Linked DNA regions of Saccharomyces cerevisiae S288C. The gene in region 2 interacts genetically with the main gene of each other region. Each region holds a gene or a part of one and is shown on either strand. Other genes may lie near its edges. The genes, in order: NOP9, NBP1 and PAU9.

Region 1 (11,383 bases), on a different chromosome or scaffold from region 2:
TCTTCTAGAATCTCAAAATCTAGCTGAGTAGGAGGATTATTGGAGTCTAACAAACGAACAGTATGTTGCACTTGTTCTTGAACCTCTTTTACACGTCTAAAAACTTCACTATGCTTAACTTTGCAAAATGTGTAAACCTTGTCTAACTCGATCTCCAAAGATTCTAAAAAATCTGTTTCCAATTCTTGCGTCCACTGACCGTTATTCTTAGATAAGTTATCTTCTAGCTCAGTCTTCAGATCATCATAACTAATATAATAGTAGCTGTACTGTCTAATAAGAGACTTGCTCAAGTGCTCACCAAACTTCATAGCTGTTCCTGCCTTGTTATGCTCTTTTATTGGCCGATTTGATTGTTAGCCTGTAACTTCTTTCTGATTGCCTCAATATATAAAGATAGTATTGCTTCTTTTTCATTCACGTGTGCAGCCACGTGCGGATGAATAATAAAAATGCAACATATATGCATAGTGCGGTGTGTGAAAAAGTGAACCTACAAGTCAGTAGCTCTCCGTCAAAACGCAGACAAACCAATTTTTTGTCGGTGTTTTCCTGTGCAATTCCAGTAAGTAACATATTAATACAATTTCCTATGATGGGTTACGTGGAAAGCAGAGAGGCAATTGCGTGATTAATTCGGAATATTAGCAACGCTTCTCTTAGTATGAAAAAGCTCTTCGAAAGACTATATTTTTGAAAGCTTTAATATGTTTATAAGTTAAATATTGTCGAACTTGTTTGCGACAGCTCTTGAAGTCACGGTGCGTCTTTTTTTACTCGTCAACTGGTATAACAATGCGTATGACAATTATTATATAACTATTACTTTATTCTTGCCATGAAGGGATTACTGTAACGCCCTCAACTAGTATACCCTTTTAAGCCTCGACAAAAATACAGAATAAACAAAAGTTAAATCTCACCGAAGTTGCTTGTGGTACTGGCTTTACAGACGTTTATAACGCAGCACTAAATTTCCAAATAATAACCTTCCTCCAATGGAAATAAAAAAAATCGAGACTAACCCAAAGTGTGCGCAATAAACTCTAAAAAATAAAGTATATTCTTGTAAATATTTCTATATGCTTAAGTTCAATAATACATGCATACTCATTGAACATGTTATATTGTTACACAACAAAGTAATTTCTGTTTTTCGGAAGTGCCAGTCCAAATCAATTCAAAGCACTGTACACTCATGCGTAGCCAGAGATGATCTCTAGCATTTCCTCAATTGTTTTTTCGTCAAATCTTGCATCACACTCCTCCACTATGGAGTAAAGGTGGACCATATTGGCAGGAAGTTGATTGACAATCTGCAGTTTTTCAGCCTTGAATAATTTAAAAGAATTCAGTTTAGTCATCAACTCAGCAAAGCTTTCATCGCTCATTTTGCTTATACCCGATTTTTCAGCATCTTTTGCACCACTGCTTTCTCGTTCCTCGCCTTCATCTTCCTGGTTGATAAAGTTTTTGTTTATACTGAGATAGTTAACCACATTGCGAGTAATACCTTGCAATTCAGGATGATTGTAGGGCCTATTCTGCTTACCTTTCGAGCGACTTTTCTTCAGCGCAGCCAAACTTTTTTGGTCCCAAAGATGTTTTTTTTCTAGATCTGTTAGGAACTTCAAGACTTCATAGTCACTTAAAAATGCATTCCTTTCCTCAAGAACTTTCATAACGTTTAAAGTTTTTTGTTTAAGTGTCGATTTTTTCAGTGGTGGGTGTTGGATTCACTCAACTTCTCTTCTACTGTGGCTGTTATTTGCTTAACTTTCATAGATCGATGGCATTGAAAAAAATAATTTTTCAGGCAATTTTCCTTTTTTTACTTGGTATAATTTTCAGGAATTGAAGGATTTTTCAACGAATTAGCCTTGTTGGCGCAATCGGTAGCGCGTATGACTCTTAATCATAAGGTTAGGGGTTCGAGCCCCCTACAGGGCTAATATTTTTTTCTTGCCCACTTATTCAAGGAATAAGTGCTAATTATCTTTCAACCTTGCAGCGAAGCTTTCTTTTGTATTTCATCTCATAGAAGGTGAAATATCACACTATTTTGTAAATAGAAATAGTATATGTAGTTCGTGGAGAACCAGACTGCAGACTATCAATAAAAGGTTACATTCTGTTCAACTCATGTGACCAGAAGTTTGATTAAGCAAAATTGTTCTTCTCCTTAACATATGATATTATCTGAAGGAATCTAGAAAAGCTTGATCATTCCGCAGAATAACCTATCAAAATGATTGGGAGGACCATTTTATAATTCATGCTACATATATAACATTATACAGTAAACCCTTTTAATGTAATGGATTGCTCATAGTTGTGTACACGAACTGTTTGCTAATAAGCTTGTTTTAGCTTCTATTGCTAAAGAAATTACTGACGAAGAGTTTATGACAAGGAAAGATGAACGAAAGTACAATTTACCGGTTAGTGTCAGCGCCAAAGGATCCACGCACTAGCAAAATAATGAAAATTGTGCCGGATATTCAAGACTAAGAGATGTACAAGTTGAAATATAAGTAACCCTCGGCATAAACTACTCTGTCGTAAGATCATTAACATGTCGATTTGCCTGTGACATTTAACGATTCACAAATAGCGGAATTAAATGATACTTTATCTATCCTAAAACGCACGAAGCATACTTTAGAATGCATGCTCTTAGTAAGTATGCATTGCCGACTTCTCTGTAAGACTTTTATCTCGTTTCAGACCTAATCTGCAACAAGAGAAAGGGAAGAGGACGGTATTGTTACGACGTTATTGGCGGCTAGGAAAGAGAGAATCACCATGAACGATATGGTGCAAAAAAAATAAAAAAATAAATTGAAACGGACAGGAATTGAACCTGCAACCCTTCGATTGCAATCTTATTCCGTGGAATTTCCAAGATTTAATTGGAGTCGAAAGCTCTACCATTGAGCCACCGCTTCAACTTTTGTTGAAAATTTAGGCTAACATTTTCTAATAGGTGACATTACAAAATCCAGTCTTACAGTTATGCTTAATATTGACCAGTAGTCATATTACTGGCATATTATCTGTTAGAATAGTGACATACTATTCTTTATTACTGATGAATTTGTAATTGTGAAGCAATTAGACGCAAACGTCATTGATGTGTCAGGATGGAGAACGATATAGACTATGTGATAATGTAAAGTTAAATATCTGTTACTTGAACAATTAACTTGACGTTTGTATATGTAAGGATATGGGTCATTACATAGAAACTATAGTAAATAGTCTCAGTATTGTTATATTTGTCATGTTTGATATGACTAATCGGCGCATGTTTTACACCTCTTTTGTATAGTATAAGAAGATCTGCTTTTATTCTTGAACCCTACCACTATCTCGCCAAGTTTTTAAAAGATCCACTGCGATCATTGAAGATTCTATTTCAAATAAAAATCAACTATTACCTATCATCTAGCATTCATATTACTTGTATATTATCATATCTGTAAGAAGATGACATGAATGATGAGAAATAGTCATCAGACTTAATAAAAGCCGAAATTCAAGGTCGATAATGTAATAGGATAGGGTGTTGAATGACAATGTATAAAAGGAACGAAGACAGAGTAATACTATTATGTAAGAAATACCGATTCCCTTGTGAGTATATAAACATAACCATTTCATTAAAATAATTTATTCAATGGTATGTATGATATTATAATAACATACTTATACTTGTCTCACTCTGTTCATAAACGCAACAATACAATTACTTTTGAATATTATCTTTAATAAATACACTTAGTAGTTACCAATAAATAATAAAATCCTTTACTAATACTAATATAAGGATTTCTATGTTCTCGAGGAGAACTCGTAGTATGTTCTGTATCCCTAATATTGTAGCCCTTAACAACAATGGAATACGAACAATTTTCTTAATATTCGGCTATTTCTGAAATATACATATTCACGGGATACTAGGAGGTCAGCATGTTACAAATTTCATGATAGTGCATCAAGAGACCCTAAAATTAATATCCTTTATGTGCGTATTGCTTTCATGGTAGTAAATTATCACTGTTTTCATCTAGACGTGGGACGGTAACATTTTCGATAAATATCAAAAGATGGCAGTCATTGTATAGAATACCACAATTTGTGAGCATCTCTGAGGTTTTTTACAAGCTTCCGTAACTCATACAGACTTCTATCGTCCTACTCTAGTATTATTTACCTATTCATAACCACTTTTTTATCCTTCTATTTAAATTTATAGATGCAAAGGGCGGAAAGAATTGACTGGAAAGTAAACTAAATATAAAAAATATCGCCAACTTATTCATACAATATCGTAGCAACTGACAACTTTTAAAAATCTGCAAAATTCTTTGTAGTGTTCCTTAATAATGTTTAAGCTAAGGTTTTTTATTAAGAGGAAAATATTGCATAATTCTATAATTTACATCAGTACAGTAGTAACATATTATCCAATTATCTATAGTGCTTTTGCTTTTTGAAGGCGCTTCCTTCCTTCGAATTATTTCTTTCTCTTGAGTGCTTTTCTGGCTTTGGCTGTAGCGGTTTAGAATTTGGAAATATTTCAAATTCTTGCTCCTTAATTAGTTTTTTCCAATCCCACATTTTTCTAACATATAATTCCAGTTTCCAATTCTTCCACACTTGCCTGCCATAAATACTATTCTTCACCTTCTCAGTTTCTAAAACTAATGCTCTAGCAATACGCTCCTTATATAATGTTAATTTTGCCGTAAATTCCCACAATTTGTCCATTATATGAGAGCCATATACATTGCATGCCAAATTTACAGACTCTTTAGACAGTATGTTCAATAGCATTTTTCTCTTAATTATGTCCACCCTAGTAGTTTGTAGTACGTGCTCAACAACATGCGAAAATACTCCATGGTAACACATTTGTATCAACCTTTCCTCAGGCAGAGCCAACATGCTGTCAATGGTAATATTCAAAAACTTGTCGTCGTAGTCAATTAATTGTTCCAAGAAAACTGATCGTCTTCTTTCTTCTGCTGTTGGCCAGTCATCTCTGGTATTGCCCAAAGTCGATGCACTCAACAACAGGCAACTTTCCAAAATATTCTTTGCATCAGACTTTTCTGGATAATATTTTTGTATTAATTGAGCAATGACATCATCCCTTAAGTAACCACCTTGTTTATTGCTTGCGTTGATAATAGCAGTACCAAAATCCATATTTGAGTTTAAAAGCATGCTTAATTCAGGAACTACTGCATCCAATATCTGTTTTACGTCCTTCTCCTTCAAATGTTCCAGCAATGCACGCACTACAAAGGCACCTGTAGTATCCCTTTTTGCTAGTTTCACAATACGGTCTTTCATATATAAACGATAAAGTCTTTCAACATATTTTAGCCTGGCAGAGCCAATCACATTTTCTAAGAAATGAGAACCGACAGGATCTGACAGTAAATATTCCAGGAATGATTCCTCCTTAGGATCCTTCTCATCTGCTGTATTGAAGACCAATCTCCAAAATGAACGGTCCCTGTCAAAAATACCTTCGACTTGAATAATGAGCTGAATTACAGGGGAAGCCACTTTATCCACACTGTACTCTCTAAATTTGGTGATAGTAGATTGCGAAATATCAGAACGCGACTCGGCACCATTAGTAAATCCTTTGTATAAAGTAGTTATTATGTCACGAAGTTCAGATTTGAAAGATTCCGGTGTTTGGTAAACTTTATTGAAATCGTCATTATCTTTAATGTCAATCATTTTTCTTGCAATTTTTGACTTTTTGGAACGTAAAGTAGAGTTCGCTTTAGTTGAATTAGGCAATGTCTTGGAAGACAAAATTAATATTAGCAATCTCAAAACATGTGATGCATACTGATGGTTCATCATAGTTTTCAAGTGCGGTTTCAGTTCATTCAACATAAAGAGAAACATATTTTCCATAGTCACATAAGGCCCTTCTTTTTCATTGTTATCAAAACTTGGTGTTAAAAGTTCTCTTTCTACCAAGGCGGCACTTCTAACAAATAAAGTCTCTAAAACATGGGAAGCATATTTATGACATGACAACCCGAAGAAAACGCCATTGAAAGATTGGAAAATGTCTTTTAACTGAGTCTCATCACATTCAAGAATAACTCGTTCCATCAATTTCGAAGTTATTTGGGAAGTAACCAATTTCAGTTCTTTACCTTTTGCTTCCTCAATAATGCTCGTGACGAATTGAAACTTTTCCTCAGGTGCTTCGAAGGCGTCTAATTGCAAAGTCGATTCGGCTTGCTTGAAATACTCCAGTTCTTCTCTATCTAGCACACCAAAAAACATTTGTGGCTGAGTCTCTTTAATTTCGGCTTCGTCATTGTAAGTAGACTCTTCTTGCTGGATGTGCTCCTTCGCAGAATTTGAACTGGGTTCAAATTCGTCCTTTCTCTGTTTGTCTTGGTGTCTTCTGCCTCTTGTTTTAGTCTTTCCCATAATAACAATAATGTGGTTTTTCCGTGAAGGTTTCAGCGTCGTTCACAGTATACTAGTTGTAACAGATCGCAGCTCATCTAATATAATTTTCTTCATTATATTGTAGATGAGCATGAAAATTCTCGCTAACCGAAAAAAAATTGAAAAAAAAAAAAGTATTACAATCATCGAACAAATATACAGGCCAAGAGTTCGTCGGTTTTGCAGGTTGCTTCTTGGTTAATGTATACAGTACATCTGCATTATCAAAAATTCAAACATTATATATATCTTTACTACTATACAGGTACACATGATACAGCCTAGCAAGTTTGAAAACTTGATTGCAATTTATGACATTATATTCTGCTGTTTGCAGGTATATCTACTTTGTAAGTATAAAGATGCAAACAAATCAGTCTTCTTGGTCCCAGTTACCTGGCCTTGGGCCTTGAGGTGCTCTTGGACCACCCGCCTTCTTTGCCATGATAATTTGGTCAATGGAAAGCACAGTAGTTGCAGCTTCTGTAGCGACGTTAATAGCAAACTTTTTCGTTGCAAGCATGTCATAAATATTTTCCTCTCTGATGTCCTTTACACCTTCATCAGATTCGCCATCAATATCCACACCTTTATATAAATGATCTGTCTTAACTGCACCAGGTTCAGTTACGTTATGTGCAGCGTATAAGTTTGGTAGTACCTCATTAACATCAAGACCAGCGGTCTCCGCTAGGGTACGAGGAACCACTTCAAAAGCCACGGCAAACTGTTTTATAGCTAACTGTAGCAATCCAGGTGTTCGTTCACCATACTTAGTTATCCTAGAAATCAATTCAATTTCGGTAGCACCAGCACCAGGCAACAACTTACCGCCTGATGGCTTCATTAGTCCCTTGACGGCTGCAACACCATCATCAATGGCTCTTTCAATATCATCCAAATTATTCTGTGTGGCACCTCTTAAAATGATAGTAGATGTTCTTGAAATTTCACCTTGCTCTTGTTTGAACACAGTTACTCTATCACCACCTATCTCCATTGTCTTAACAGTTTCCACTAAACCTAATTCTTCTGGAGTTGGCGCACCTAATCTAGGCAATGGAGTGGCCCCACAAACGCGACATAATCTTCTTAATTCGAATTTGCTTGGTACCTTCAAGACTAGTATACCGTATCTATTCAAATAATGTAACGCCAATTCACCAACACCAGCACCTGCAACAATGCATTCTACGCCCATGTCGGCAATCTCTTTCATCATGGCATCTATTTGCTTTTCCTCGCCCTTAGAAAAATCGAGCATTTCTTGTGCATTATGTAATAAAACAGTGCCTTTCGTTTCAGTATTGGCTATGTCAAGCGGACAAGTGAAAACTGCAACTTTATGCTTTTTATCTTCGGATAATGATTTTACATGGCCTTCAGGCTCACGATTGAAAACCATACCTTTGATGACGGTAGAATTGGAAAGCGATCCACCCATAATCTTTACTACTCTGATAGAATCAACATTAAAATAAGGAATTTCTCCAGCTTGCTGAGCAACTGGTAAAACGTGAGATACAGCTTCAGAAACAAGTTCACTCAATATGTCTTCAGATCCGTACTTTTTGGAGGAGATGACTGGTTTAATCATTTTCAAAAGTTCGTTTTTATCATTCTTGTCAGTAATTTCACCAACAACCATTTCGTCTAGTTCTTTCAAAGTAAACTTCCTTGCCATATTATAACCTTGAATAATCTCAACGGCAGACAAGCCCATTGAAATCAGTTTTTCGGACACATTTAATAGTTCGCCAGCCAAAATCATGACTAAATTTGTACCGTCTCCCATGTCGATCTTCTGTTGTTCAGTCGCCATTACGAGGACTTTCACTGCAGGATGGACAATATCTAGTTCTCTTAGCATGGTGGCCGCGTCGTTGGTAATAATGATTTTACCGAGATGGTTAACAATGATCTTGTTTCTACCACAGGGTCCCATAGAAGTCAAACACATTTGATGTAATTCGCGAATGGCCGCAATTGATTTAATAATTTGGCCATCGGCGTTAGAGTAACTATTGTAGCCTTGTTTAAACAATCCCGCGTTGGGATTTTGTGGCAATCTAAGTGACATGGTTAATTGATGATTTTATTGCCCTTGAGGTTCAAGTTGTCTTGTCGGTATCTGTAAAGTGAGAACATCATCATGCTATACTATTTTCTTCACTTTTTTTTGCCACTAGCGGAGGTGATGAACATTTTCGAATACCGTTAATAATGACAAAAACACCATTAACTTGGCTTATATAAAATAAGCTATTGAAATAGTAAATGTGCTCGCAACTCTTTAATTATCTAAATCCGGCAGCTTCTTTATTGATTAATAATACAAAATGTTCGGACAAGTGATCATTAGATATCAACATGAATTCAATTGGTAACAATTTCGATGCTTACATTTTATGCTAGTATACACCACGCATATGTCTGTCAATGTACCTATTACAGAAGGAAATGTTCAAGAAGCAGTTCAGACAGTACCGAAGCAGAATTAAAAATCCATTATTTGAATATGATCTGATAGTCATATATATGAGCAATACAGGTCTTCACATTAAATGTATGAGAACTGCCGGAACCACTATTACATTGGTCACAATTAGGAATGAACCAATCGGCGTGTGTTTTATATCCCCCTTATATAAGTCTAAGAAGATCGATATTCAATCTTCATTAATAAAGCTTTTTGACCTCTACCTATGAGCAATAAACCATATCCATCAATAGTGGTCAAGCCGTAAGAATGTTTTTACCGAGAATAGAAGTAAACTTTTCTTATTGTATATAAGAAAAGCATATAAACACGCGCCCAGAGAACATATTCAGTATGCCCTAGCTTGGAAACACATCAGTAAAATACTACGCGCCTAGTATAATGACTTCTATATCCAAAATTTTTAAGTTAACCTTTCAAGTAAAAGATCTTTGCCTTATACTACTGTCTGAACAACTCGTATAAATTAATGTATGATATGAACATTCCCATTGTTACGATAGATGTCCTAATGAGGATCAACTATAATCTATCGAATAGTATTCATATTACTAATATATTATCATGTACGATGTACCAAGATGGCATGAAGATTGAGAAAACAGTCATCAGATTTAATAGATGCTGAAATGCCAGGACTGATAGTGTAACAGAATAATGAATGATATCATATAAATTGGGGAAACAATAATGACAATATTATGTGAAAATATCAATTCTCTTTTGTGGATTACAAGATCCCCTGGAGAACTTCTAGTATGTCCTGTATACCCGGTGCTATATCCTTTAATAACCATGGAATCCGCAAATATTTGATGTAAAGTTTGTTTTTCTTCCCCAACATCCTTTGTATGCTTCAGTAGCTCAGTAGGAAGAGCGTCAGTCTCATAATCTGAAGGTCGAGAGTTCGAACCTCCCCTGGAGCACATTTTCTTTTTTTGTGAATTAAACCTCGAAGCTCAACATTCATGTTTTGAGATAAAAAAAGGTACTTATTACTTGTGTAAAAGAAAGTTTATAATGATGATCTTATTTAAGTTTATAGTAGGACTTTCTATGCATGTCTTGTAGAACTATTTATGCTGGACTCGCCATTAATTAGCTCCAGTGAAAGTACATATCTTCTTTCTTGGACATTATTATCTCTAGTAATAGTGATATAAGGATCGGCATTCAACAGGTGATCTGGTATTTGCGGCAATCCAGATTCTGGTCCTGCGTTTTTTTTCAGTTCCATAAACCTTTCAACGCCAATCGGCAGCAAATCAGCCGGTAAATGACGTTGTAGATCGCACATATCGAATGAATTGATGTAAAAATTGACTATATCAAAATAAGCTTCATTTACGGATTTCTCGTCTGTTTCAAATAAAGAATACCTTTTACTTGACCAATTCTTATTATCTAGTAATTCATATGCTATTTTCAAAATGGCCAATGCAATGGAATGTTGGGGTATGACTAAAATAGTTTCTAGCTTCAAAGCATCATAAGCAATTACCCAAGCCAGATTGCACAACTTATAATCAAAGGATAGCTCCCTACCAATTTTTATAACATATTCATCAATATGAACGTAATTGTTGACTCTATAATCGAATGAGCATGACTCTAATATCCGAAGTTCTATTTGAAATACCCTTTTTTTAAAATTTTCCAAAATGTCCGTATTGATTTTAACCACATTCCTCAATCGTAATGACAAAGTACATATATCATTTGTTTTTTTAATTGTCTCAACTTCTTTACAGCCCAAAGTCAGGCAGCTTGTCGCTACAGTGTAGCAAACCTCGGTCTCGAAGCGATTAAAGAGGTGGTATCTTTGGTAAAAGTATACTGCTGTTTCTAAAGTCTTCCGTGGAAATTTCAGCTGAACACACAAGTCACTTAGAAATTTGAACACGGCAAGTTTTTTCTGGTTGTAATTTCGATAGTCCGATATTGTATTCTTTTGGGCTCTTTGAATTTGCCTTTTAGACAGAAACGGTCTCGAAAAAAAAAGCTGGGATTCAAACGTGCTAGGCATATCAAAGTACGTAATTTTCTTAGTTTTGCTGGCTCTATATCTCCTCTCGCTCTATAGATACAGATATATATATATATATATATATATCTATGTGTATAAAGACGGCTTTCAGGACAGTACTTGTTTGGATTTTTGATCATCGCGGATTTTCGCAATGCAAGTATAAAGAGAGCATTACCCGCCACACAGTGATTCTTCAGCAAGTTGTACCGAAAAGGACCATTTAGGTACGTGGGATCGCAAAGGTTCCCAAACGGTGTGCATCAAGCCGTAGACTTCATGAGTGCTTTCGGTGCAGCAAAAAGATAAGGACAAAAAATACTGAAGGATGCGAGGTTCGAACTCGCGCGGACAACCGTCCA
Region 2 (11,091 bases):
TATTATTGGGAACAACCCAGTAGATTAAAGGAGCTAGATCAAGACAGCATTCACAATTTCATATTAGAACATAGTAAAAATGCAAACCAAAGGGAATTGGTCAATGCTTATAAGGAAGCAAAAAATTTTGATGATTTCAACGTATTTTTACAAGAAAAGTTTGAAGAAGAAAACAGGTTAAGTGATCTAAAAGCGTTTGAGAAAAGTGAAGGTTCTAAAATCGTTGCCGGAGAAGATCCCTTTGTAGGTCGAACAAAAGTAGTGAATAAAAGAAAAAAAAATTCAATATCCATCAAAGAAGATCCGGAAGATAACCAGAAATCAAATGAAGAAGAAAGCAAACCGAACATCAAACCGTCCAAAAAAAAGAGACCCACAGCTAATTCGGGAGGAAAATCAAACAGTGGCAATAAAAAGAAAGTTAAATTAGACTATTCCAGAAGAGTAGAAATTTCACAGTTATTTCGCCGCAGGATTCAAAGAAATCTAATCCAGAGAGAAACACCTCCTACTGAGCATGAGATCAAGGAAACTCATGAACTATTAAATAGAATATATGAGAATTCTGACACCAAACGGCCCTTTTTTGATTTGAAGGCCCTACGCGAAAGCAAATTACACAAGCTACTGAAAGCAATTGTTAATGATCCTGACTTAGGCGAATTTCACCCACTTTGTAAAGAAATTTTACTGTCCTGGGCAGACCTAATCACAGAACTGAAGAAAGAAAAGTTGCAAGCGCTACCTACGCCTTGATAATAATACTTATTGAATCAATTCAATATATCAACGTTTCAATATCCAATATTGTTTCATTTCATTTCATTTCAAATAAACAGTGTTTTACCGTTTGTTTTGTTTCCCTTCTTTTTTTCATCAAATGGTAATATTAAATTGATTTAATTATCCATCCATAAAAATTGTATTAATAAGTCATACACGTAATGTCACAACAAAATATCAGGCGTACTCTTGTGACGTACCAAAGCGCTTAGAAACGATAAAGGCCCGGGACAGAAATTTAAACGTCACAAGTGGGTGCAGCCCAGTTAACACTAATGTTAACGCACTTCTAGATACCTCATATATATAAATATTATCTAGAATTTCAAATTTGATATTCCTTTTCTATACTGAATAAACGATAAATACGAAGTTCAGAGTGCGAAAATTAGGGTTGCAGGCGTCTGATCTGAAAAACGTATAATTGATAGTGAAAATTATGCAACATTCTGCAAAGGAAAGTAAACCTTAAAAAAACAAATCTCTCAAGCCTTTAAAGATGAAACTCAATGAACAAATACCAAAAGACCTGTTACGCCTGATTAAAAGTTCCAAGTATGTTCATGTGGCGACATGCTCGTCAAATTGTATACCATCTGTTTCGTTGATGCATTACATATTTGTTTCATCCGCGGAAACTTTCCATAAACATGAGTATAGTATAGAAATAGATTGTAATGACTATATTATATTCACAGTGTTCGAGAAATCAGTAACCTTTCGTAATGTCATGAGCAACCCAAACGTTGCATTGCTATTTCACGATTGGATCACAGCTAAAAATTTAACTCTTCGAAAAAAAAGCGTCCATAGTAAAGATGATTTTTCATTTGTTGAGTCAGAGTCTACAAAATTTAACAACTTTTTACGAGATTTGAACCAAAGTGAATTGAATCAAGTGAGCGCTACTATCAATGGTATTGCTGATATTGTGAACCCTAATAGTGAAGAATCTACTTATTATAGGCGGTTGTTATTAACAGTCAATCCAGACGCAGATATTTTTATACTAGGAGAAGATACAGCCATAATAAAGGTAAATATACAAAAAATAAAAGTCTCTGACATGGAAAATAATACTTCTACATACGGCCAAACAGTACAACCAGTTTAACGGAAATATGATGAAAACTATGTGTACTCTAATTATTATATAAAGCATCTATAAAATGAATCATGAGGATTAGGCCGTGATCTTCGCGCTCCATATATGGAGAATACTTTTAATTTCACAGGAGAAATTAAGATAAATAACTTGAAAAGTCCACTGAGATTGGTGAAAGTGTTTCATCCTCTTTTTCAGTTTCCCTTGAACGATAGGGTGGAGTGGGACAGGCGGGAGATATGTTTTCCTGTAACGGCTGCATCTCTGGTATATTTCCATCCCGATTATATGTTTTCATGGGGCTGGAAGTGAATAATGAATTCGTTCTTCTTATTGGAGACGGGGAAAGATCAATTTTCAAGGGCTTAATCTCATCGTTTTCTCTAGCTAGATTAGACATGGTTCTCCTAGATTTGGTGTATGATGGATGAATGTTTGAAGAATCTAGTAAATCCTCCAAAATCCTGTACTTCTCATTTGAGTAATTCAATGCTTCTTGTAATGATTGTAGCTTGCTTTCCAAGGCTTTTATTTTCTCATCTCTTTTCTTAATTTGCCGCTGTAGAAGAATTTCTCTATCTAAGTATAATGATTGATTTCTATCTTTTCCACTCGACCCGTCAGAACTACCACTTCTTAGTTCACTGATCCGTTGCTTATTGTATTTCAACTCCGATATCTTTCTCTTAAAGGCATCACTCCTTAGGATCCTAGATTTGGCTGTATCTGTGTCCATATAAGAAGGTCTTCCCTGGGATCTCTTCTTCAAAATTCTAGTCATGTCGCCACAAACATTTTGCATCTTGCTCATATTTTCATTATCATTGGAAAAAACATCTCTGATTGTCTGGAATATCTTTGTTAACCTTCGTTTGGGTGTTTTCCTCCTGTTAGTACGAATTTTTTCTTCAGTTTTCCTATCTGTCACCTTTCTAGGTCTTTTTAGAACGCTTTTACCCGTAGGACGCATCTGCTTTCTTCTGCTCCTTAAGGCAGATCGTTTTCTCACTTCATCAAGGGACCCGTATTCTCGTTTCCTGCCATCATCTCGTATTCCAAAAAAATCTTTCCACAGTCCCTGTACGGATTTTAGCATATTACCAATGTCTATTATTGTACCTTTCTCTTCAGAGTATCTACTTGTTCATGTTCAGCAATAATTTCATAATTGTTGATGCGCGCATCGTTTCTATACTATGACGCGTCACGAATTGTGCTAGAGTGGCCTCTAATGAAAGTATAAGAGGCGTTGGCGAAGGTCAAGGATAGACCATTGGCTGTTTCGGATGAGTTATTTTTAAAGTGTAAAGGTATAACATCAAATGAATGAAAATTAACATTGATCTCAGCTCTCAATTTCTTTCCTCATTTGTTTTCGATGTTTCTATATGAGTATACATTAAACAAGTAAATCTCAAGCTCTTGTCAAAACAGTTATTTCCAACATATCTATCTGCATTATTGGTAGCATAATTCTCAAAGGAAGCTAAAACATCCTTCTTAAAGACGTCTATTGGCAAACGATATGTTACGTATTCCGGGTAAAACAAATATTCCATTAAGTGAAATGACCTTTGTTTTCAAAACTAACCAGTTTTAGAACAGTAATTCATATAAACAACGTGATCTTATATGAAAAACTCACCAAAAGGAGACCAATGGATTCCACAGCACTTAAGGTAGCTCTAGGCTGTATTGCAATTCGTTTGGCTGTGAACAGCCTTTTTCCCTCTCTACAACAACAACTGGACCAGTCTGTAGAATTCTCAACTCCCGTAACTTCATTTAGGTCACTACAGGAAGGTATATACCTACTGCGGAACAACATCCAAGTATATAATCATGGGGTTGTTCACCATCCTCCAATTTTGATTTTTTTTCTTTCCCTCTTTAATTCCGACAGGTTAATTTCCCTCATATACGCTTTAATTGATGGATTAATTGCGTATCAGCTGACAGAGGTAACAAAGGCTTTCAAAAACTTGAAACTGAAAGTTTGGCTACCTGGACTTCTTTATGCCGTGAATCCTTTGACCCTTTTATCGTGCATTAGTCGGTCATCAATCATATTCACAAATTTTGCTATTTCATCGTCATTGTATTGCATATTAGCTGAAGGAAACGTTCTTTTGTCCTCTGTTATGATTTCTATATCTGGATATTTGTCAGTATACCCTATTCTCCTCTTAATTCCGCTATTAGGTATGCTGAAAAGTTGGAGGCAAAGAATATTATCTGCCATTGTTTCCATACTATCTTTATTAATTCTGCTATTATTCAGCTACAGTATATTAGGCAGCCAAAGTTGGTCATTTTTGACACAGGTTTATGGATCTATTATAACCTTTGAGAAGGTTTTTCCAAATCTGGGTTTGTGGTGGTACTTCTTCATTGAAATGTTTGACACCTTCATACCGTTCTTCAAGGCTGTATTCAACATTTTTATTGCAGTATTCATTACACCATTTACTTTGCGCTATCATAAGCAGCCATTCTACGCATTCATTTTATGCATTGGGTGGATTGTCCTTACAAAGCCATATCCCTCACTAGGTGACGCTGGTTTTTTCTTCAGCTTCCTACCTTTCTTCACGCCACTATTTGGATATTTAAGATACCCCATCATATCAGCATTACTGTTTTTACACGCAATTGTTTTGGCGCCAATTTTCTATCATCTTTGGGTTGTTTTAGGTTCAGGGAATAGTAATTTTTTCTATGCTATTTCCCTAGTTTATGCTCTGGCTATAGCATCTATATTAGTTGACTTGAACTGGGCGATGCTGAGAATTGAATACGATAACGGTATCCCAAATTTCAAATTGAAGGTAACACAAATTTAACTACTTCCCGTCTATAAACGTACATAAACTAGAATAAAAAGAACCATACAGATGTTCATCGTAAGAGTGGATAAAGCGAATATGAGAGCCATATTGGTTATTCCAGAGGCTATCTATTTTTTAAGAGAAACTGCTTGGTTAAAATTTGCATAATATTGTCTCGGAGAGAAAAGATAGAACTCAGAAGGACCTAATTAATCATGAGCGTTATAATACGAAGAATTGAGATAGAGTGTATGATCTGCGGATTAAGCTCCTACATAATAACAACATTGTACTTGGGACTATGCCAATTTCTTTCCCACCAAAAGTCGTATGAAAAAGGTTATCTTCGCTAGGGCTTCCATTAGGTGAAAGCCAATATATTATCATAGAATAGCACGGCATAAATATATATTTTGTGCTGTCTTTTTGGGAAGGGTAGTTTGACAACCCATGTACATTAACATAAAAAGAGCTTTATCATTAACGGACGAAGAAAGAATGTGTATCGCGTATTTTTAGACTATCGATAATCTTTTTTAAAGTTATGGTAGATAGAAGATGGAATCAGTTACGAAGTGATGAGTTCCCATACATTCCAGCCTGTTTACATTAGCTAATTTAAAAAAAAAAAACATAATTAGAATATTACGTGATGACTCAGTTTAAACGGTACTCTGTAACACATCATTTCTATTTGTTGTTCTAAAACAGGTTCTACATATTTGGATCTGCTGTGAGAATGACCTAAAAGGTAAAACTCTCTTTGTAATAATCCAAGGAAAGTGGGAGTTCCTTGGGGAAGCTCTATTGCAATATATTGTAGTTTCCATTCAGCCTGCTTATCGCCTTAGGAAAAAGGAATGTAAGAGGCAGAAAAGTGCGGCGCAATCGTTCGGACAGCGAGCCGCCATTATAGGTAAGAATACTTAAAGAGCTTCGCCGGATATTATTACAGTGTATTAAATTTCGCCAAGTCTTTGCCAATGGAAATGGGTGCATAAATTTATGTGCTTGGTACATATGAGTTCAATAGATATGTAGTAGTTGGATAGTAGATAGTTAGGATATATAATCATGGAAGGGTTACTCACAACGAATCACATAATGAGTTATGATTTTCACTGTGCTCATCTGTTGCCCCTACAAGGGGTGATCAATAACAAACAATTTCATTAAAAAAAAAAAAAAAACTAAGTCACTATAACTAAACGTAATAACTATGTATATGAAAGAAAATAATATCTGTTCGTCATCTAGTTTAATACGGCAACGAGTTTTTCACCAGAGTTCTTACCATATTTGATGTCTTTTAGGATATGAGGAACATCACAAAGCCCGTTCTTATAGACCCTTACTGGAATATGGCGAATTTGTCCATCATTAATCTTTGGATTGATGAATTTGATAAATTTTATTGCAGCTTTCCTAGCTTCTGAGTCGGCTGGTAAAGTAATGTTTCCAAATGGTACTTCATGGCCACCTATTGAATATAGCCTTATTATGTCAATAGTAACGTTTTGTCTCCTGTTCTCTTTTTTGACGTTTTCTTCTGTCAAATTTTTTAATTCAACAATTGTAGCATCCTGTTTATCGGCCGCACATTTGTACACTTGTTGAAGCGTATCTTGATTCGCGACACAGTCGACTAAATACGAGATATTGTTGTACTTGTGTTTAATTTGTTCTACCACGTCAATATCATGATAATCAAATAATTCATCAGCACCATATTCTTTCAAAAGTTTTTCGTGCTTCCGAGAAGCCACAACAATGATCTTGGTGAAGCCATTCAATTTATTGGCTAATTGGATGAGCGACTGACCTACTGCAGTTGCACCGCCCCATAATAAGATGGGGCCTTTTCTTTGTGGGGTTGATGGCTCCCACTTCAGGTCCAAGCCCAAGTTATAGGTCAACACCAAGCCGGCTGTGGTCAGTGACACTGGGATAGTGGCTACACCTTCCAAAGACCTGACAGGGCCGGCAGGTAGAACATCCTCACCCAAAAATTTGAGTTCATTGGGTGATTTGTAGGCAACCACAGTTGAAATAGCAGAATATTCAGCAAAAGCACCATTGGAAGGAAACCTTACGGAAGATCCGTGAATGAACCCATAAATATAATCACCGATAGAAAAGTCTTTAGGATTGACAGCTGGGCCCAATTTGACAATTTGGCCAGCAGCATCACATCCCAGAATAGATCCTTGAGGCCCGATCTTGTAGTCAATGTGTGCCCAATCAGTGGGGTTACCAGCAACAGCGAGTGTCTTAATCAATACGAATCCTTCTTCCAATTCAGGAATGGGAATGCCCTCTTTAACAACCGCTTTACCGTCTTCAATGACGACAGCCTTCATGGTTTCTGGAATTGCAACTTGCATGTTTGTAGGTTATCTGTAATTGTCGTTGATAATCTGTATTCAGCTTGCCATTTTATAGAATATGGTTAGAAAGATCTTAAGCTAGATAAAGAAAAAGAAAAAAATAGAAAAAAGCCTGCCCGCTTTATAAGAACTTTTCTCAATATCTGTTGAGGAACACTTAGTAATATCGTCTATCATGGTTGCTTTATTCTTAGTGATATTACTCTCTGGGATTCGATGTGTTCTCATCATCTGAAGGGTTTTCTATGTGTTGAAAGCCTATCCCACTAGACGGAGCCGCGCGTCAGCCGGGCGGATCCGAGACATCTTAGTCAGCTGAGACAAGAAAGGCACAGCTCTCGGACAGGAACTGCTGTCATATGAAAACCTAAAAATGTTTCCTGGAAATTCCATGACTGCGCAAAGTTTGATACGTTTATTGTTCTTCTCCACTACCGCACTTTCTATCTCGGAAACCTTTCAACTAAATGAACTATTGTTAATTGTATGGCGTGTGGCCTTTCTATTTCAGAAAATTTAGAGTAAAGTAAACTCCGTCGGACTAGTATAGTAATGAAACAAGCCATTGACTCTGCAGCATATTGCGACCAAAACCTGGAAATTGGTGGCTATGAGTTTTAATTTATAATTATATGAAAACAAAGCTTGGAATGCTGAGTACTTTTTCTTCAATGCTGCTCACTGCCCAGAAGCGTTCAGAACAACTCTACTGGAGCCATTCTGCTTGAAGGAGGATAAAAATGCCAAGATCAAGTCTTTTAAAGATTCTATCCCTTTTCATCGAAGAAGCACTACAAGTTTATTTTACAGAAGTTGACAAACTGTGGAACTTGATCCATACTGAATAAGTATGGAAAACTGTTAACTTAGAGGATGCTCTGCTTTCTAAAGAAGTTTCACAGCTTTAGACTCACATGGGTTCTCATGAGTATTGCTAGCTAGTGCGAGTTTGATCTATACTTCACAGACTTTTAACACCCCGTTCCTTAAGTTTTCCCTGATTATCAAGGGTATTTCCAATTCTTACTCCCCACTATCGCTCCTTTCTTATCTGAATTGTATTTTTGAGTGGCCTAATTGTAATCTTTTATTTTGTTTTCTAATTATTGAAGGCGGTTTCTCGAAGCATTTCACGATTTCCAAAATTCAAGAATTGAAATTATGAACATAGAAGACAAAATACTTTTTTTATCAACTATTAATACACCTTTCCTAGAGAACATTTTTAAAATAAAATAAAATAAAGTAGCGCTCTCTACTACCCTTACACTTTTCTCCTTCATATCTGGCTAGAAAAGAGGGATTACATCTCGGAATCAAATATTTCCCTCTGTGCAAAGTTTTAATACTGCTACTACGAACTGGTTACAATTTTATTTTTATCATACACGATACTTTGAACATCAACTTCTCTCAATACCATCCGCCTTCAGCGGCTACAATTACGTAATTGCACCAAGGCATTCGCCGAGAGTTCACAAATTGCAGACCCTAACAGTATACGACTCCCAACACACGTTTAATGTTGTACGAATTCAAGAGATAGAAATGCTTCTTCCGCGGAAGCCGTTTAAAGCACTGAAATTAGGCTTAGACAATAGACTTCTGTACGAGGGTCCAAATCTAAAATTCAGATATTCTTTTTGACCGAAAACGGAAATCACAGGCGCGCAAAAGGGTTTTTCAAGGTACCCCGGCATCCCTATAATAGGCATTCCCACATTCTGCGCATACGAATACACATGAGTGCCATAAAACAATACTCCACATACGAAGTCTATGAAAGATGTATGATTCGTTCAGAAACAAGAGCATTTCCATACTGATAATGAGATTGTGTGAAAGATGAGATATGGAGGATATGTGAGGTGCTAAATGAGCGTCTGTTAACGAATCGTTTAAATAGTGATGACTGATGAAGGCATGGGTATAAATAGAGCTGCTTCAACTGTATGCCTTTGAGAATATGTCTTTATTCCTTTCTTTCCTGTTAAGCTTATATCAGCACTAACAAACAAAACAAATACAATGGTCAAATTAACTTCAATCGCCGCTGGTGTCGCTGCCATCGCTGCTACTGCTTCCGCAACCACCACTATAGCTCAATCTGACGAAAGAGTCAACTTGGTTGAATTGGGTGTCTACGTCTCTGATATCAGAGCTCACTTGGCCCAATACTACATGTTCCAAGCCGCCCACCCAACTGAAACCTACCCAGTTGAAGTTGCTGAAGCCGTTTTCAACTACGGTGACTTCACCACCATGTTGACTGGTATTGCCCCAGACCAAGTGACCAGAATGATCACCGGTGTTCCATGGTACTCCAGCAGATTAAAGCCAGCTATCTCCAAGGCTCTATCCAAAGATGGTATCTACACTATCGCAAACTAGGGACGAGTGCCTCTACGAATGAAAATTCATAGACAGTAAAAAGTAATGAAAAATAAAATAAAAACTACTTTTTTTTGATGATATAAATACCGTAGATTATATAAATGTATATTAATATTATAAACCTATTTGATCAATGACAGTGTTCGTGAAGCATTTTATGAATACGATAAACATAAAAAGAAACTTTTACACTATTCTAGAAAAAGGGTGGATGGTAATAAAGCTAATAGAGTATGTCCAATAAACAATAATGAAATTGGAAGCGCATGACTTCTCAGCACTTTGTCTTTCCATAAAAATGAGTCGCTGCTTCTTTTTTCATTTTTTGGCGCGTCGCGTCGGGCCGTATAGAATATGCGTCACTTCTAAGAACAAGATTGCAGATCAGGGCAGTGCGAGTTACGGAGTCATGGTATCAAACTCTCATTTAGAGACCCTCATTTTTTGACACTGAAAATATCAAAATTTCTGGGTTGCGATAGTTTTTGTGTAACCGTAACCAGAAATAAAGCTGAAGGGTTAGTGTTCTATCAACAATAAGATAGAGGGTGGTAAGATGAAGTGAGACAATATCGTAACGTCCGTTTCAGTATACGCCGCTGATAAGTTATATTACCGTAAAATTATTTGACATTTCGTTATAGATCCTATTAAATAACGTACCTATCACAGTATCGTCTTGTTCAGATATAGTCTCTTCGTATGAGTAGTGTCACATACAAGATTAAAGATGCATCAGTTATGCTTTTAGGATATTGCGGATAGCATATGGGAATGGAAATAGGATACAATTTTATCATAGCACCCGCATGAGTGTCAACACAGTACCATATTATAGCACAGTGAATGGAGAGTGTTACGACAGTGAGGTAGCATATTATTCTAATGTATGGTCTGCATAAGTACGAAATATTCTGAAATGGCATCCGTTCAAGCAAACTGCAATATTAAGGAACTTTTACGTTAATGACGTCATGGTAGTGTTCATACTCCAAGTCAATATGTTTTTGTATTATTGTTGAAGAATAGAATATTTTTATGTTTAGGTGATTTTAGTGGTGATTTTTCTGTAATATTGGCATAAGTGTATTTAAATTGAGTGGTTAGTATATGGTGCAAAAGTAATATAACGTATGTATTAAGAGCATTTTTACAATATTCGAGGCCACTGAATGAGATATAGATATTAAAATGTGGATAATCATGGGATTTATGGGTAAATGGCACAGAGTATAGACCGCTGAGGCAAGTGCCGTGCATAATGATGTGAGTGCATTTGGCACTGATTTAGTGAGAGATGGGCCATGGAGTGGAGTGGAATATGAGAGTAGGGTAAGTTGAGATGGTATATACTGTAGTATCCGTGTGCGTATGACATATCAGTATACAAGTGAAGGTGAGTGTGGCAAGTGGTGGTGATGGTATAGAGTGATAGGGTAAGTATATGTGTATTGTTTACGATCATTTGTTAACGTTTCAATATGGTGGGTAGAACAACAGTATGGTGAGTAGTAGATGGGAGATGGTAGAGGAATGGCAGGGTAAGTGGTGGCGGAGTTGGATATGGGTAATTGGAGGGTAACGGTTATGGTGG
Region 3 (10,401 bases), on a different chromosome or scaffold from region 2:
TTCCGCTTATACGACTCTTTGTTAATGTCGGTGACTGGATGGAATCTATTATCCTCAGCATTGCCATCTTTATTGGCGTCCTCCTTGGCACTAGCGTTGGTACTTTCAGTGGTAGTGGCATTAGTGCTGGAGTTGGTGCTAGCAGTGGTAGTGGCATTAGTGCTGGAGTTGGTGCTAGCAGTGGTAGTAGCACTAGTGTTGGAGTCGGTACTTTCGGTGGTAGTAGCACTAGTGTTGGAGTTGGTACTTTCAGTGGTAGTCGCACTAGTCCTGACGTTGATGCTAGCAGTGGTAGTAGCATTAGTGTTGGAGTCGGTACTTTCGGTGGTAGTAGCACTAGTGTTGGAGTTGGTACTTTCAGTGGTAGTAGCATTAGTGCTAGAGTTGATACTTTCAGTGGTAGTAGCACTAGTCCTGACGTTGATGCTGGCAGTGGTAGTAGCACTAGTCCTGACGTTGGTGCTGGCAGTGGTAGTAGCACTAGTCCTGACGTTGGTGCTGGCAGTGGTAGTAGCATTAGTGCTGGAGTTGGTAGTCGCATTGGTAGTAGCACTAGTCCTGACGTTGGTGCTGGCAGTGGTAGTAGCATTAGTGCTGGAGTTGGTAGTCGCATTGGTACTGGCATTAGTGTTGGAGTTGGTACTTTCAGTGGTAGTCGCACTAGTCCTGACGTTGATGCTGGCAGTGGTAGTAGCATTAGTGCTGGAGTTGGTACTTTCAGTGGTAGTCGCACTAGTCCTGACGTTGATGCTGGCAGTGGTAGTAGCATTAGTGCTGGAGTTGGTACTTTCAGTGGTAGTCGCACTAGTCCTGACGTTGATGCTGGCAGTGGTAGTAGCATTAGTGCTGGAGTTGGTACTTTCAGTGGTAGTAGCATTAGTGTTGGAGTTGGTACTTTCAGTGGTAGTCGCACTAGTCCTGACGTTGATGCTGGCAGTGGTAGTCGCACTAGTCCTGACGTTGATGCTGGCAGTGGTAGTAGCATTAGTGCTGGAGTTGGTAGTCGCATTGGTACTGGCATTAGCACTACCATGAATGCACGTGTCGCTGTCCTCATCACTGCTGCAATACTTTCTGCACCTGTCACTGCTATTGCTCTCCTGGAAGCTAGACGGTAACGCAACGATCGACATGGAAGCTGTCGCCTGATTTTCAGCCAATCTGTCCATTCTTTCTATCAGTTCCACTGTGTCAGCAGACAGGTCTGTCCTGGAGCCACAGCATCCAACATGCTGGCCCTTTTTTTCCTTTCTTTGATTCAAGTCCATAGAACTCGCGTACCTGTTCGGTTATACAGCCTTCCTTAATCGGTGGTAATTCACCCTTACGATTCCTTGCCGCCCAACTGTTTTTTCTAGATAATAGATAACAGAGGCCCCCATCTCTTAGTCTCCCTACGCCTTGAATGAGCTCAATAATATTAAGTCTATTATCAAGCATGATCACCATCATCAATTGCTTAATGTCAATTCCTTCAGTCACTAATTTCGTTCCGATGAGAACTTGCATGCTACCGTCAGTGACAAACTCCTTTGTGCGAGACACCTTTTCTGCAGCACCCAAGCTTCCCGTGTATCCATACCACCCTAAAATACTTTCTCCAAGAGCAGGCCAATTCTTCCACTTCGTTGGTTGTGCTTGCAACTACAATGGCCTTCGACTCTGGTTCAATTTCAAAGAGGGCTAAAAGAAGCTTCAGTGCTTCTTCGGGCTGTGATTCCACTTTCTTCCAAATTTTATGAACATGCCCTAAAGGCACCTCGGATTTCTCCTTGATTAGATTAAACATCCGTGTTGGATAGCTGGATAGACCTCTGCTGAGATCTTCCGACCGTTTGAGCTCGTTGATGTCCATCGACTTCTTGGCCAGTCCCGTAAGCCCAATACGCTGCAACGCAGCATCAGCAACAGCCTCAGGGGCTGTGCCGCTCAAAAAGATTGCTTTCTCAAAAGCGTCAAAATCAAGGTTAGTTATGCCCCCAAATTGCGACTGCCGGTAGACCTCCGTTTCAAAGTTGTGAAACTCATCTACAATGAGGTAACCCAATTTTACGTTGTTGGTCCTAAAGGTGCACTCAACAATATTCTCCCACGCAGCTATCCTGTCTGTGAAATTAGTGCTAGCAAGATCATCGTAGATCCCCACGTATAAATCAGTAACGCCATCGCAACCTTCTTCAATAAAGTTTCTTACAGGGGCCACATTCAAGCAACCGCGTCGGCCCAACCTGATCATGCAATTAGCAAGCAACACTGTGTACGGTACAAACAGAAACGACACATATTTCACGTCGCCCTTAGATGCCAGTGCTATCAAGGGGAGATGAAATAACTCCGTCTTACCATAGCCCGGTGGGGCCTGTACTGCCACAGAGGGTGTGTCTGCCATGTATATTTCATGACATAAGCGCAACTGATGCAAGTCCCTGAATTCAAAGGAGCTGCCAAAGAGTTTCCGGCCTGCGACGAGGATATCGTTTGTACTCTTGGGCTCTCGGGGCCTTTTTCGCGTTACTCTTGAAATTTTTTGATCATGATCTGAACTCGCCGCCTCACCTGCCACTACGTCTTCCGCATTCCGAGTACTAGAGAATGAACAATGGTAGTCGCTTTCAAGGCCTAACCATTGAATCCAGCGCTCGGAAGTGAGTCCGTCAAGCGTCTTTAGTCGAGGCTCCGATGAACCGTTCTTGTTGTATCGTCGACGTATACGTTGCGCTGTAGCTCTGGATAACGGTAAGCGTATCACCGTAAGCTCGTCAATTATTTTTGAGAGCCGCGGTCATTTTGTTAGTATCTCTTCTCAACTTGGGCAGCACACATGCAAAACATCACCCAATCGGTCCTTTTTGTTCATCATATCGTTACATATCTGTGAAAAGTACTTTATCTCAGTGGGTTTACGTGGGCATAGATCACGCTTCAGCCGCTCTGTGTCGACTTTCTTTTCGCCAGGTAAACTTGCTTGGTATGCAGAAAAAATCGATAGCTCATCTACGTGTAGTAACAAGAACATGTAGGGTGCCAAATTGTATCCATATTTCCTTATGGTGCTTTTCTGAAGACTCCTTACAATAGGTGTGCCAGAAACAAAGTCAGTGAAAGTACGCATCGTAGAGCTGTCGTTCGGCCTGGCACTCGCTATTTCGTAACAACGTTCCAGGACACGGAAACTCAACTCATTATAGTATCCTCTGTTGAGGTAAAAAAGAGAAAGGGTATCGTAATCCTTTCTATTGAATTTCAAAGTATGCACTTGAAACAACGTGTAGACCATCAAGTTGATTTTCTTGGGAATAAGATACTTTGAAGGGATTGGTCCGCCCTGGAAATCTGGTTCGTCTTCAACAAACGTCAGGAACTTTTGTACATTTTTCCCGACCATGACGGAAACGACAATTTTTTCAAAAGACCTTTTCCTATCCATTGCACCAGTTCTGAATTTTACCACTTTGATTAGACCAGACTTTTCGTCTTCGTAGAATGACCGCACTTCCGTGGGGATCGATTCAAATAAAGTTATTGAGGGACAATGTACCAAGTCGTTTTTGTTATTTAGAGCCGACTCAAACTCGTCAAAGTTTGCTTTTTCAAACTTACGCCTATCGGAAACTTTCATTTTATTTTTGTAAGTTTCGAAATTAACAATAGTATGTTGATTGCTATGCTTTTTGACAAGAAATCCATCAATATAAACAAAAGATTGTCCAGTTTCCGTCTTATCATCATCTAAGAATGTAATAATTAAGCTACTCTATTGAGAAGAAGCAGAATCTGCGCTATGCAGGTGCAAATCTCCAGCAGCAGCAAAGAAAATTCAGTTAATAAGAAATCTCACTAAGATAAGCGACTGTCTGTCCCCTTCAAGCACAACATAGAAAACAGAAGGATGTCTCATTCATCGCTTGATTTCCGGCCTGCAAAAATAAAGTAGTCGGTACGTACTTTCGTTTTCAATTTCCATGGTGCACAGTATCTTAACTATCTGCTTAGTCGAGGAGAACCAGGATTCTGTTCGTTGCTCAGCCGCTTCGTGGATATTCTCTTGGATACTTTAAACATGGACCTACGTTCCGCTCTCGAAAAGACCAATATAATAAAAAGTTATAAATTACATTTCCTTATTAGGTATACGACCTCGCGCTTCGAAGTAGAGGAGCCCTTTTTGGCGTACCTACATATGGCGCGTCAGACAGACAAACTTCCCCCAAAAATGTATTACCCCGCCGAATAAGAAAACAGACCCATTCACCCACGACGTATCAAGTTACTTCCTTGGTGCAATGTCCCACTATAAAAAAATTCCTTGACGCTAGATCGTTGGACTAAAATCTGCGTCACAATCGCCTAAACAGGAAATATTGCCTATTTTCGTACAAGGTTACTTCCTAGATGCTATATGTCCCTACGGCCTTGTCTAACACCATCCAGCATGCAATACAGTGACATATATATATACCCTAACACTACCCTAACCCTACCCTATTTCAACCCTTCCAACCTGTCTCTCAACTTACCCTCACATTACCCTACCTCTCCACTTGTTACCCTGTCCCATTCAACCATACCACTCCCAACCACCATCCATCCCTCTACTTACTACCACCAATCAACCGTCCACCATAACCGTTACCCTCCAATTAGCCATATTCAACTTCACTACCACTTACCCTGCCATTACTCTACCATCCACCATCTGCTACTCACCATACTGTTGTTCTACCCTCCATATTGAAACGTTAACAAATGATCGTAAATAATACACATATACTTACCCTACCACTTTATACCACCACACATCACATGCCATACTCACCTTCACTTGTATACTGATATGCCATACGCACACGGATGCTACAGTATATACCACTCTCAAACTTACCCTACTCTCACATTCTACTCCACTCCATGACCCATCTCTCACTAAATCAGTACTAAATGCACCCACATCATTATGCACGGCACTTGCCTCAGCGGTCTATACCCTGAGCCATTTACCCATAACTCCCACGATTATCCACATTTTAATATCTATATCTCATTCGGCGGGCCCAAATATTGTATAACTGCTCTTAATACATACGTTATACCACTTTTGCACCATATACTAACCACTCAAATTATATACACTTATGCCAATATAACCAAAAAATTACCACTAAAATCACCTAAACATAAAAATTATTTATCTTTCAACTTTACGAAATAAACACACTCAATTGCGTATCTATACCACCATGACGTCATTAACGTAAAAGTTCCTTAATATTACCATTTGCTTGAACGGATACCATTTCAGAATATTTCTAACTTTCACAGACCATACATTAGAATAATATGCCACCTCACTGTCGTAACACTCTATATTCACCGAGAAACAATACGGTAGTGGCTCAAACTCATGCCGGTGCTATGATACAATTGTATCCTATTTCCATTCTCATATGCTATCCGCAATATCCTAAAAGCATAACTGATGCATCTTTAATCTTGTATGTGACACTACTCATACGAAGAGACTATATCTAAAGAAGACGATACAGTGATATGTACGTTGTTTTTGTAGAATTATAATGAAACGTCAAATAACCCTACTATATTATAACTTATCAGCGCCGTATACTAAAACGGACGTTACGATATTGTCTCACTTCATCTTACCACCCTCTATCTTATTGTTGATAAAACACTAACCCCTCAGCTTTATTTCTAGTTACAGTTACAACAAACTATCCCAAACCATAAATCTTAATATTTTAGGTGTCAAAAAATGAGGATCTCCAAATGAGAGTTTGGTACCATGACTTGTAACTCCACTACCCTGATCTGCAATCTTGTTCTTAGAAGTGACGCATACTCTATATGGCCCGACGCGACGCGCCAAAAAATGAAAAAAGAAGCAGCGACTCATTTTTATGGAAGGACAAAGTGCTGCGAAGTCATACGCTTCCAATTTCATTATTGTTTATTGGACATACTCTGTTAGCTTTATTACCGTCCACGCTTTTTCTACAATAGTGTAAAAGTTTCTTTCTTATGTTCATCGTATTCATAAAATGCTTCACGAACACCGTCATTGATCAAATAGGTTTATAATATTAATATACATTTATATAATCGGCGGTATTTATATCATCAAAAAAAGTAGTTTTTTATTTTATTTTTTCATTACTTTTCACTGTCTATGGATTTTCATTCGTAAAGGCATCACTCCCTAGTTTGCGATAGTGTAGATACCGTCCTTGGATAGAGCACTGGAGATGGCTGGCTTTAATCTGCTGGAGTACCATGGAACACCGGTGATCATTCTGGTCACTTGGTCTGGGGCAATACCAGTCAACATGGTGGTGAAGTCACCGTAGTTGAAAACGGCTTCAGCAACTTCGACTGGGTAGGTTTCAGTTGGGTGGGCGGCTTGGAACATGTAGTATTGGGCCAAGTGAGCTCTGATATCAGAGACGTAGACACCCAATTCCACCAAGTTGACTCTTTCGTCAGATTGAGCTAGAGTGGTGGTTGCAGAAAGCAGTAGCAGCGATGGCAGCGACACCAGCAGCGATTGAAGTTAATTTGACCATTGTATTTGTTTTGTTTGTTAGTGCTGATGTAATCTTAACAAGAAATAGTGAAATGAAAGCGCATACCTCAAAGGCATATAGTTGAAGCAGCTCTATTTATACCCGTTCCTCCATCTGTCATCACTACTTAAACGATTCGTTAACAGACGCTCATTTAGCACCTCACATATTCTCCATATCTCATCTTTCACACAATCTCATTATCTCTATGGAGATGCTCTTGTTTCTGAACGAATCATACATCTTTCATAGGTTTCGTATGTGGAGTATTGTTTTATGGCACTCATGTGTATTCGTATGCGCAGAATGTGGGAATGCCTATTATAGGGGTGCCGGGGGGTGCCTTGAAAAACCCTTTTGCGCGCCTGTTAAGTTTCCGTTTTCAGTCAAAAAGAATATCCGAATTTTAGATTTGGACCCTCGTTCAGAAGCTTACTGTCTAAGCCATCATTTGGTGTGTCCTAAACGGTTTCCATGCAAAGCAACATCTTTGTTACTCATTCCTGAAGGTTGAATAAAAAATAGCAACCATGTGCAGGGAGTCGTATATTGTTAGATTCTAGAGACTTGTACGCATCATCAAAGCTGTAAATAGAATAAACATACGCAAGGCGTCAAAAGTGCATAGTTAAGAAAATTCCTGACATGTGAAAATATGTGTTTATGAAATGTGTCAAGGCCCGTCTATAGCGTAGTTAACCCCTCTGCAGGAGTAAGTGACTTTTTTTACGCTCAAAAGGCAACGAGGGCACATACTTAAAAGTCATTTTCAAACACATCTGCAGTTTGCAACGACAGATAACAATATTATGATAGGATGGTATGATGTTATTAGCTGCCACATATTTTTTAACATAGCATTAGTCACGTCTCTTCAATTGTTGGGATGAAACTCTAAAATATCATTCCTTTAGTAGTATTCCAGTTACCAGTATATTATCACATGCCGAAAAAGAAGATGACATAAAGATCGACAAACAGTCTTCAAATATAATGGAAGCTGGAATGCAAGGATTGATAATGTAACAGGATACTGAATGACAAAGTATAAATGAAAAAAAAAAAAAAAAAAAAGTAGTAATACTATTATGTGGAAATACCGATTCCATTTTGAGGATTCCAATTGTTGGAATAAAAATCAACTATCATCTACTAACTAGTATTTACGTTACTAGTATATTATCATATACGGTGTTAGAAGATGACGCAAATGATGAGAAATAGTCATCTAAATTAGTGGAAGCTGAAACGCAAGGATTGATAATGTAATAGGATCAATGAATATTAACATATAAAACGATGATAATAATATTTATAGAATTGTGTAGAATTGCAGATTCCCTTTTATGGATTCCTAAATCCTGGAGGAGAACTTCTAGTATATCTACATACCTAATATTATAGCCTTAATCACAATGGAATCCCAACAATTACATCAAAATCCACATTCTCTACACCAATACCATCGACGAGAGCTTCTAGTAAATTGTATACATAACAGTATAACCCTTACCAACAATGGAATCTCAAAGATTATTAAATTATTCACAGACTCTGAGGATTCGGGTAAAATAGGGTATTTAACTGGTTACCGGAAAGGTTTAGAAAATTCGTGGAGGGTTGGCCGAGTGGTCTAAGGCGGCAGACTTAAGATCTGTTGGACGGTTGTCCGCGCGAGTTCGAACCTCGCATCCTTCAGTATTTTTTTTGATGATTTAACGTACTATTAACTAGAATAATAGGGAAATGCAATTGCAGTTTGAGAAGAAGAATTATTAATAAGCCAAAAAGCGGCTCACTAAGTAAGTTTTTCTTCATGGCGTCCTTTGCATCCAGCAATAATGGTTTTAGCAAAAAAATCTCTTTCACTACACAAGTTGGAGCATATTTTTTAACAAATACAGATAAACGAAAGGCGATAATAAGTATACTTCCTATGTACAAGAATCTTTAAGTGATATAATCTTTCAGCGGACTAGAAGAATAGGGCGTTCAACTGTTGTCCTTGCAGAATTGCGTAAACTCCTTCAAGTAGTCATTATTTTGCTCGCAGTTTTGCCTTAAAATGCCCTCTGTTGTAGAAGTTAAAATTTGTTCTATTTTTCTATTATTTGCCACCCACTCTGTCACCTTCGTCCAATCCTTATATTGAGCTTCCTGTTTCTCCGCTCTTTCTCTTGCAGCGTAAGGATCAATTCTTGCGTCTATAAGTGGTTCCGCAGTAGTCTTTTTATTATTACCGCACTGCTGATCGGTCTCGTTCTTCATCTCTGCTGCCTCTTTTTCGCAAAATGAAATTATATTATTCCGTATTTGCCAGTTCGGATATAGTTCTTGCTTCAAAAATTCCTTACACTTATTTTTTCCATTAATAGAGCCTTTCCTATAGTTGTTTAATTTTTGTCTTATTATATCATCACTTCCATGCCTTAGAAACCTCAAAAATGAATCTATCAAGCTTGGATCAACACATCTTTCTCGCGTAACTGTGATTGTAGTAAGTGACGGTTCATCATTCGGAAAAGTAAGATTTGTTTCAAGTAAGCTTTGGGGTGCCGTAAACGTACGCCTATTATCAACCATACCGTCTTTTTGTCTACGTGTATAAATGAGAAGTTTTTTTTCTAACTATATCCAAGTTTTTCAAACTACCCAAAGGATATTTAACTTGGCGGACAAAATTACCGTCACGTTCAAAAGTGAATATATAGGCGATTCTGGGTAACAAGCAAAAGTAAACTACAATATGGAATAGTGTAAAACTTCACTTATCAACAACAAAATCGCTTCAAGCCTCCTATCTTAGAGTCTAGAGCCTGATAAAATTCTTATGCGAGCAAGGGCAACCTGATCGAATTTTATAAAAACTATTTATGGACTAAAAACCTACAGCGCTCTTCATCATATCCCTTCCCGTTTCTTCCATTGCGTCATTCATGGTTTGTCCCATTGTGGTTGCATAGTCATTAATAGTGGTTTCTACCGTGTCTAAACGAGTTTCAATTGCCCTAGAAACACTTTTAAGGACACCATATCCATTACTTCTTCCAGAGCTTCTTACAGGTCTGGCATACCTGTGATCTTCCGTACCGGGAGGTAACTTTCTGGCTGCATTACTACTACTGGAAGATATGCATCCTCGAGCAATTGCGCTTTCCTCATACTTCGATTCGGGCCTTTCTATACCGCCCAGTAGCTCATCAAGTTGATATGGTGTGCAATAAATAGTTCCTCTAGCCCATTGTAAGGAATTCACTTGAGGCCTATAACCAATCTTTAAATCAGGATTGTACAAGGTATCAATAGGAGTATGTTGTGATATGTCAGCAGTATGATTCGTTCCGGTGGCACTTTCATTAAGTACTGAAATCAAAGAGGCTTGGAATTTCCCTGTGCGAATGACAATGTCACCATTTTCTAATATAGATGAATTTTCAACGTATTGAGCGCTTAGAGGGACCGGGCAGCGTAGATTTTTGACTTCCTTAAGCTCAGGTACTGTCAAAACTTTAATATCTCCATTAATTAGCAAAACGATCATAATAGTTGAAAGCTTTCTTTCTCCTTTACCGTCAATAATGGGAATAAATGATAATCCACTAGTGGCAATTGGATACTTGAAAAGCGCATGAGTGTCCTTAGATTTACCTGGTGATACTAAACGAATGTCATTTGCGCCACTGATAGTAACAAATCCAGGTATTGCGATACCCTTGCTTAAACCCTGCATCTTTGATATAGTAGCAGAACAACTGTAGCCAGTATCTTTGGCAAAAGAATTTATTCCTAGAATTTTTCCTTGATTGTTGGTCTTTGTTGCATC

What was found.
Region 1: mutations in NBP1 (region 2) and NOP9 together harm fitness more than expected from each alone (negative genetic interaction), as found in Saccharomyces cerevisiae (one large-scale study listed by BioGRID).
Region 3: mutations in NBP1 (region 2) and PAU9 together harm fitness more than expected from each alone (negative genetic interaction), as found in Saccharomyces cerevisiae (one large-scale study listed by BioGRID).

Annotation. Positions count from the first base shown.
Region 1 is NC_001142.9:413,089-424,471, forward strand, and holds NOP9 (RNA-binding RNA processing protein NOP9), read right to left. Parts: upstream 6,475-11,383; coding exon 4,474-6,474; downstream 1-4,473. Other genes in the region: VTC4 (Vtc4p), read right to left, coding at 1-311; DNA-directed RNA polymerase III subunit RPC17, read right to left, coding at 1,197-1,682; chaperonin-containing T-complex subunit CCT8, read right to left, coding at 6,869-8,575; YJL007C (uncharacterized protein), read right to left, coding at 9,610-9,924; CTK2 (Ctk2p), read right to left, coding at 10,050-11,021. UniProt on the Saccharomyces cerevisiae protein: RNA-binding nucleolar protein required for pre-rRNA processing. Component of the 90S pre-ribosome involved in production of 18S rRNA and assembly of small ribosomal subunit. Component of the pre-40S ribosome required for release from the nucleolus.
Region 2 is NC_001144.5:1,053,788-1,064,878, forward strand, and holds NBP1 (Nbp1p), read right to left. Parts: upstream 2,985-11,091; coding exon 2,025-2,984; downstream 1-2,024. Other genes in the region: PDP3 (Pdp3p), read left to right, coding at 1-756; YLR456W (pyridoxal 5'-phosphate synthase), read left to right, coding at 1,283-1,897; GPI-anchor transamidase subunit GAB1, read left to right, coding at 3,547-4,731; YLR460C (uncharacterized protein), read right to left, coding at 5,970-7,100; seripauperin PAU4, read left to right, coding at 9,132-9,494.
Region 3 is NC_001134.8:1,391-11,791, forward strand, and holds PAU9 (seripauperin PAU9), read right to left. Parts: upstream 6,344-10,401; coding exon 6,215-6,343; downstream 1-6,214. Other genes in the region: YBL113C (uncharacterized protein), read right to left, coding at 1-1,268; YBL112C (uncharacterized protein), read right to left, coding at 1,192-1,509; YBL111C (uncharacterized protein), read right to left, coding at 1,517-2,726, 2,826-3,619; MIX23 (Mix23p), read right to left, coding at 8,571-9,161; putative Rab GTPase-binding protein SRO77, read right to left, coding at 9,457-10,401.